Linked DNA regions of Drosophila melanogaster. The protein of the gene in region 1 interacts with the protein of each later gene in a pairwise test. Each region holds a gene or a part of one and is shown on either strand. Other genes may lie near its edges.

Region 1 (3,923 bases):
TGATGTTCTTCGAGCCCTGCCTGACGATACCCCTGCACAGAAGGCAGACCTTCTCCCTGCAGCAGCTCTCCCGGGCGACCATTGTGTCCAACACCAGCTACGACGGGATCAACCAGATGGAGCTGCCCGGTCGGCTGAAGAGCTACCTTAAGGAGTATCACTACAAGCAGAAGCTGCGCGTCAAGCCCATCGACCAGAACACCCCGATGCCGTACTACGGCAATGTATAGCGGGAGGAGCAGCAGGTGGGCTTCACCTACTACGAGGACGTGGAGAGCGGCAGCGAGGTGGACGAGGACGACGACGAGGGGGTCAACATACGGGTCTCCTACGTTCAGCACGCCGAGGTGGTGGCCCAGCTGCAGCAGGTCACCACGGCGTCGGGCCCATCGGCTCCGTCCTCATCCAGATCGTCCAATCTTCAGGAGCACCTCAGCAGGCTGCCCAACCGCATGGCAGCCGCCTTTGGTCGGATGTCGGCCAATCTGAATTGCTACCAGAAGACTGTCGCCACGCCGGAGCGTCACTCCAACTCCTCCTGAGGATCAGGACGTGGACGGAGGGGCAAACAGAACCCAGAAACCAAAACTCAAACTGAGACAATCCCAGTGCAGCGTGTGCCGCCACCATAAGTTAAAAGATCAAACGCGAAGCCACATAACAAAATCGCTAGCTCGCTACTACAAGACTGTCATGGATCAAAAACCAAATGTTCACCATATATATCTCACCTATTGGAATGCAGCTCGGACGGATTTTTGAGTTGTGGCACTCTTGAAAGCGAGCTGGTAGAATGTAGAATCGAAATCGCAGTTAGCTAATTGTACTATAAACTAAGTATTATTATCTAAAGCAACCCTCTCTCCTACACACATAAGTATTGCAAAAAGAAGGGCCAATCGAGCTTTTCGTAATCGCTGGTATTCTTGTAATATTTCATTGTATTTATTTGAAGTATGGAATCTAAATGATGTGTTACTGTTACGTGTAAATACGAGATACGAATGCAGCTTAGTTAGTGTAAAACTCTCTCATTAGCCAAATTTCCAAATGTAATTTTCGCCTATTTATGAATATACTTTATTTATTTATTCGAAGTGATTTCGTTCGCAAGCGAGTGCTTTGTTTAAAAAGAAAAAACCCGTCAGTTGTACACGTGTAGAGCATTTGTAAATACTACCGATTTTCGCATTAAGCTGTAGCTATATTAATATAATGAATTATAAATCATGTATTCCTACCTAGGTGGTTGCTGTTATTCGTAAACATTCAATAAGCAGTTGTTTCCAATACCTATTTAATGTATTTTACATATCTCACATGTTGATGAGCATGCGTATCAATATTCAAAAACAAAATCGAAAAAAGAGTCAAACAAATAAAGTTGATCAAGATATTAGAAAAAATCTCAAAGTGTGTTTTGAATCAGAAGTGTGGAATCATAATCAACCCAAATGATTGATGTATTTTAATATCTTTAACAAATGAATGTTTAACTCATTCGTTATTTTCATTATAAAGTCGTGAATTCTTTATAAAATGAGAGTAATCAACTAAAATCTATAGATTTCTATTTATTTTATTTTATATCTATAAAATATCTATAGATATTCTATCAAGATTATGCTGAACTAAACCTTTTTTACTTTCTTTTATGGAATTCGAATATGCAATCTTAATGAATTCTGTGTCGCATATTTGTAATCTTTTTGCAATTTTATTTATATATTTTTATAAGATGAATTAGGTATGCTTTTTTTAAGTTTAGGTAAATGTGGAATATTAGTTTGTATATCAATTTAAAAATCACACTTTTTGAAACGTACGTATAAATAAAAATTAAAGGGGAGAGGTCATATTTAAGATGTAATTCAAGTGAATTACAAAAATTCAAAAATTAAATGACTTTATCATTAATTTTATAGTTGGAAACAAAGCCAGCTCAGTGAGAACTGGTTGAAAATGCCTATCGGACTATCGATGAGTATTCATCGCTAGTGGTAACTTGCGACCAACCCGAGGCTGGTCACACTGCTCTGGTCGCGTCCAAAAAGTGTACAATTTTTCACCACCTCGGTTTGTTTTTTCGGACCAGGCGAGGCACCTTCGATTCGCTGCGACTTCCGTTTCCGATCCGTTTCGGATGATAGCTCTGAGTGCGCTGCTAACCAAATATACGATCGGTATTATGAGCAACCTAAGCAATGGCAACAGCAACAACAACAACCAGCAGCAGCAGCAACAACAACAGGGTCAGAACCCACAACAACCAGCACAGAATGAAGGCGGAGCGGGAGCGGAGTTCGTGGCGCCACCGCCCGGACTAGGTGCCGCAGTGGGCGTGGCAGCCATGCAGCAGCGCAACCGCCTGCTGCAGCAGCAACAGCAGCAGCACCACCACCATCAGAATCCCGCCGCCGAGGGAAGTGGCCTGGAGCGGGGCAGCTGCCTTCTGCGCTACGCCAGCCAGAACTCCCTGGACGAGAGCTCCCAGAAGCACGTCCAGCGGCCAAATGGCAAGGAGCGCGGCACTGTGGGGCAGTACAGCAATGAACAGCATACGGCGCGCTCCTTCGACGCCATGAACGAGATGAGAAAGTAAGGATGGCACGAGATCCTGTCGAAGGATCAGTTCGTACGACTATAAAATTTGGTTAAGTCCTTAAGCATCATAAAGAAGTAGCCAGGGTTTCTAAAGACCTTAAGGCAGTATATTTAGATCCACAAATAGTATTATATCCTAATTCCTACCTGTGAGAGGTTTTAAAAACCTTAGGTAGAACATTGGTTATTTTGTACCTGCCCTGGAGAATAGAACACACAGCACCCACATAGGACTTTTAATGATATGCAGAATTAGATCTATGTGATTTTATAGCCTGATTATGTAAATAAGCACACCTACAACGGTTCGAAAAATGTTTCAAATGTCATTTGTTTGCTCAACAGCAAACCAGCTGAACGTTCGTTCAGGTTCTAAAAAGGTGTCAGCTATTTCCCAGTTACTATTTCCTTGACAAAACAAGCTGATCTGAGTTTCTACCACTAAAACTTTCAGTTGTTAAATATGACGACCTACCTCAACTTAATATAAATAGAACTGTGCTAACTACACTCTATTATAAACTCATCTCCTCTGTTCCCGGACAAAGGCGCATGATTCAATCCCTGCGTGTTCGACGGGAACAGGTGGACCGACTGGCTCTCGAGCTTTGAGATTTGGGCCAAGATGCGAAAATAAAATCTCTGAAAATGTCAGATGATCGTCTCTCGCATATTTGCGCAGTTCGCTTTGTTTATCTGGCCGTTGCTAATATTTGTGTTTGCACACTACATATGTATAAACGAATATTTGCCGCCGCTTTTGTCGTGGGGCCATTCGCATTAATTATTGTCTAGTTTTTATTATGATGAGTTGCTTACGCCTTCGGGTTTCGCATTGGGCCACGACCTTGAACTTGGTTGCGGCCAAAAATGATATTCGTTTTCGAATCGCATTTCGATTCCGCTTCCGCGTCTCCGCCTTTGCTTACTTTTTGGAAAACTACTGGGCGTATGGAAAATTTATTGGTAGCTTACATAAAACGAGTTTTTTTTTTCGGACCAATCATATCGTATTCGGCGCGAAAGTGAATGTGGTATAACCCAAAAAGTAAGCCGAGCGTTGTAATGTGGATTGCTTTTTGATTGGGAATTGAATCACACAAATATTTCGTGAGGTGTATATTCTATGAGATTTTTTTTATTGGGTTATAATTATAACACCTTACGATTTTGAAGACAAAAGATCTTAGTCTTTTCGAGTAGTCATCATCATTTAATGGCGCCATAATTTGCACAGTTAATAGCATCCCCGTCTCTTTTTACAAAACAAAATATTTTCCTCTTGAAAAAATTCAAGCACTTTTGTTTACAAACATACA
Region 2 (3,923 bases), on another chromosome or scaffold:
CATACCTAACATAAAGTAAATCGAAAAACTTGTCATTAATGGACGGCGGATTGCTCCTTGAGAGATTGTTCAACCTAGACCAGGCTGGAATTAGTAACAAAGATCTTATTTAAATCGGTACCTAAATGAATACATCGCTGCTAGCGTATAAAGGAAATGGTTTTAAATATATCAAAATGGGAAAATTATGATGTTTCGTTTAATTAATAAGTTGTATTTTAGGAAGTCTTACAGTAATTAAAATTAGCTTCAGCATTTCTACTTATTACATTTATAACTAAGCTCCTTCAAATAAATGCATACTTAAACATATTGATATGCTTGGTAAGACTAAAGCAGGTAGTGGAAGTACTCGTCGCACATCTCGTGGACACTAGCGGTGTGCTCCTCGTCGCCGCTATCACTGCTTCGCAACGTGATTTTGTGTGCATTGGCGTACAAGTCGTCCTCATCAACAGCCGCATCGTCGGTTTCTATTAATTGAAATTGCAAAAGTGATGTGGCAGAAATGATAGTGGACGTAACTTCGTGACCTCACCTCGGTACTTTTGTTTGCGCCTCAACCGTTGCTTGGAGCTTGAGAGCACTGCTTCGTCGCCCAGATCCAATTCGTTTTCGCGGGAGTTCCGGGAGTAACGAATTGGCGGTGCCAGGAACCAGTAGGATTGCATGATGCCTTTGAGACCCGGCATTTGACGCAGTTCGGCCAATTTGAGCGGCTGCCTGGACAATGCTTGGAAAGATCGCAGCTGCAGTGTGACTGGTTGCGAAGTGCAGTTGATCAGCCTAATTACGGACTTCGCGGCTGTGGAGCAGACCATGGGATATATTTTGACATCCGGATCCGTCGGGACATTGGTGTAGGCCACTCCCAGCGATCTGCGGTTCAAATAGAACTCCAAGTGCCCACGCGTTCGATCCAAACAGACACCAATCAAGCAGCCCTGCGAGAACTTCTGGCCGTAGGGCAGTAACTCGCCACAGTGCTGAATCCTTCCGGAATACGAAAAGCCCCAGGACTGGGCATTGGTGCCCAGGGCCGAGACAAAGTGAAACTTGAACTGCCCTAGATTAACGCTTTCCGTGCCGATGCCGAACATCTAGGAAAAGTTATAAGAAAAGAAAGGCAATTATAAAGAGAACATTATTTACATTGAACTTTAGCTGGCTTATCATCTAGTTGGGGTGTCTGCTGAGATTTCCTCCTCCCGCTGCGTCTGTTATCTTATCGCCGCGTTGTAATCTGTAATCCATAATACAACGAAGCGAACAATCAAGTCGTCTCCAATGGAAACGAGCACACCAGATGCCTGGTTAGTTGTGTTCTATTTTAAGGCGGCGACTTTGAGTGACATTCATCATGCTGAGCATCCCAACTAGTTGCCAAGCCGGCCTGATAACTAACCACATCCGTGCCGGCCAGAGTCGTGATGACGCGCATCTCCCAAAAGTGCACCATGTTTGTTTTTAGGGCCTGTTCCCCTCTCACAATCGCCGTGCCCTGACTGTAGGTGGGATGGAAGATGATGTCCCGGTCGGTGACCACGGCATCCGATTCATCAGTGGCGTGCCACCGCCAGGCATTCACGTTTCCGGACTCATCCTCGCCGCATTGGCACCTGACCAGGTCGGGTATATGGCCCTTGTGGTTGGTAACCTCAATGGAGTTGGGAAACGGGCAATCACAGAAGCCGGGATTGCAGGCTTCTTGGTACGGGGGCAGCAGCATGCTGGCACTTGTTCCTCTTCACTGGTTTACCTTCGATTGCTTTGTAATGAATTGTGTCAGCCGTGTACAATGATCTCGAGCAGTCGACGGACCACAAATGTTTCCAGTTAAACCAGCTGCAGCCTCATATATAAGCACATTACTCTGATCTGACTGAACAATAAACAAAACGATGCGTTGTAAATAGACGTCGGCATCGCTGCCGACGTCGCCGCCAGTGTGACCGAAGCCGCAGTTCGGAACTTAAAATATACTAGATATATCTCAATTATGAGAATTATGGTCAAATTTATAGCAATTTCTTTTGTGGATTGCTAGTGCGTAGGAAATTTTGGTGTTTACAAAAGCTAAAAAACCAGTATTCAAATTTTAAATAGAATGTTGATGGGCTACATTTTTAAAAACTTAGATGCGCGCGCTAACGATAGGTTTCCTACAAATGGCAGCCCTGATATCGATTTTCAGTTGGCTTCGCACATATGGCATCTCTTTAGCCTTTTGACAATCTGGCAGCACGCGTAGCCACAAACAGCGGCTTTTCACTACGATATTTCCGCAAAAAGTTGTAAAATAGGTTAATAAAAGTGCTTAATACTTATAAAAACAACTAAACAGACATGGCGGATGCCGCAGCACGTCAGCTGCAATACGAGTACAAGGCGGTAAGTGTCAAATCCCGCCCGGGAAAACTTCTCCCACTCCATGCGGCGTCTCACCAGAATTTCACAAACACGTTAAATGTATTTTCCATTTTTCAGAACTCCAATCTTGTGCTGCAAGCCGATGTCCGACTCATCGAACGTCCGCGCCGCGATGAGGCCACTGGCGAGGTGTGTTCCCTGGTGGGAAAGCTGGACGGAACAAGGATGGGAGATCGGTACCAGCGAACGAAGCCGGAGAAAACGGAGGAGCGCAAGGTGAAACGTCAGAAGCGCGACGAGGCCCAGTACGATTTCGAGCGGATGAAGGGAGCCACTCTGCTCTCCGAGGGCATTGACGAGATGGTGGGCATTGTGTATCGACCCAAGACCCAGGAAACTCGTCAGACCTACGAGGTCCTGCTCAGTTTCATCCAGGAGGCTCTGGGGGATCAGCCCAGGGATATCCTGTGCGGTGCCGCTGATGAGATTCTGGCTGTCCTCAAGAACGATCGTTTAAAGGATCGGGAGCGAAAGAAGGATATAGACAGCTTGCTGGGCGCAGTTACAGATGAGCGATTCGCTCTGCTGGTTAACCTGGGCAAAAAAATCACAGACTTTGGCAGCGATGCCGTGAATGCTTTGACTGCTGCTCCCAACAACGAGGAGCAGATCGATGAAACCTACGGCATCAATGTTCAGTTTGAGGAATCCGAAGAGGAGAGCGACAACGACATGTATGGCGAGATTCGCGACGATGATGCCCAGGATGAAGGAGAGGAGGCCCGCATTGATCACACACTGCATGCAGAGAATGTGAGTAATGTAGTTAAAATTGCGAATCCCATTTCTTATTCGTGTATCCCTTCCCAGCTAGCCAACGAGGAAGCCGCAAATAATGTAAAGAAAGAGCGCTCCTTGCATCCTCTGGACATAGATGCGTATTGGTTGCAGCGTTGTCTGAGCAAGTTCTACAAGGACGCCATGGTGTCGCAAAGCAAAGCCGCCGATGTGTTGAAGATCCTCAAAGATGCCGCCGACGATCGCGATTGCGAAAATCAATTGGTGCTTCTGCTGGGCTACGATTGCTTTGACTTCATTAAGCAATTGAAGCTTAACCGGCAGATGGTCCTGTACTGCACCATGCTCGCCTCGGCCCAAACGGACAGCGAGCGGCAAAGGATTCGCGAGAAGATGCGCGGAAATTCTGCGTTGGCCAAAATCCTTCGGCAATTGGATACGGGAAAGTCAGAGGATCAGGAGGAGGGCGAAGCACGGGGAAGCAAGCGTGGCAAAGGCGATGCAGAGGATGGTGGAGCGGCGGCTGCCGGGCAGGTGGCCGGTGTGCGACAGCTACTCGAGTTGGAAGAGATGGCATTCACTCAAGGATCTCACTTTATGGCCAACAAGCGCTGTCAGCTTCCCGACGGCTCCTACAGGAAACAACGAAAGGGCTACGAGGAGGTGCACGTGCCTGCACTGAAACCCGTGCCATTTGATGCCAATGAGGAACTTCAGCCTGTGGACAAGCTTCCGAAATATGTGCAGCCTGTGTT

The links.
Region 2: the proteins of kel (region 1) and Brr2 interact in a two-hybrid assay, tested with the Drosophila melanogaster proteins (one study listed by BioGRID).

Annotation. Positions count from the first base shown.
Region 1 is NT_033779.5:18,136,152-18,140,074, reverse strand, and holds the start of kel (kelch), read left to right. Parts: upstream 1-1,991; 5' UTR 1,992-2,143; coding exon 2,144-2,598; intron 2,599-3,923. Other genes in the region: Socs36E (suppressor of cytokine signaling at 36E), read left to right, coding at 1-230. UniProt on the Drosophila melanogaster protein: Component of ring canals that regulates the flow of cytoplasm between cells. May be involved in the regulation of cytoplasm flow from nurse cells to the oocyte during oogenesis. Binds actin.
Region 2 is NT_037436.4:15,966,176-15,970,098, reverse strand, and holds the start of Brr2 (Brr2 U5 snRNP complex subunit), read left to right. Parts: upstream 1-2,226; 5' UTR 2,227-2,346; coding exon 2,347-2,391; intron 2,392-2,487; coding exon 2,488-3,183; intron 3,184-3,240; coding exon 3,241-3,923. Other genes in the region: CG10516 (uncharacterized protein), read right to left, coding at 331-473, 539-1,100, 1,406-1,729. UniProt on the Drosophila melanogaster protein: Catalyzes the ATP-dependent unwinding of U4/U6 RNA duplices, an essential step in the assembly of a catalytically active spliceosome. Plays a role in pre-mRNA splicing.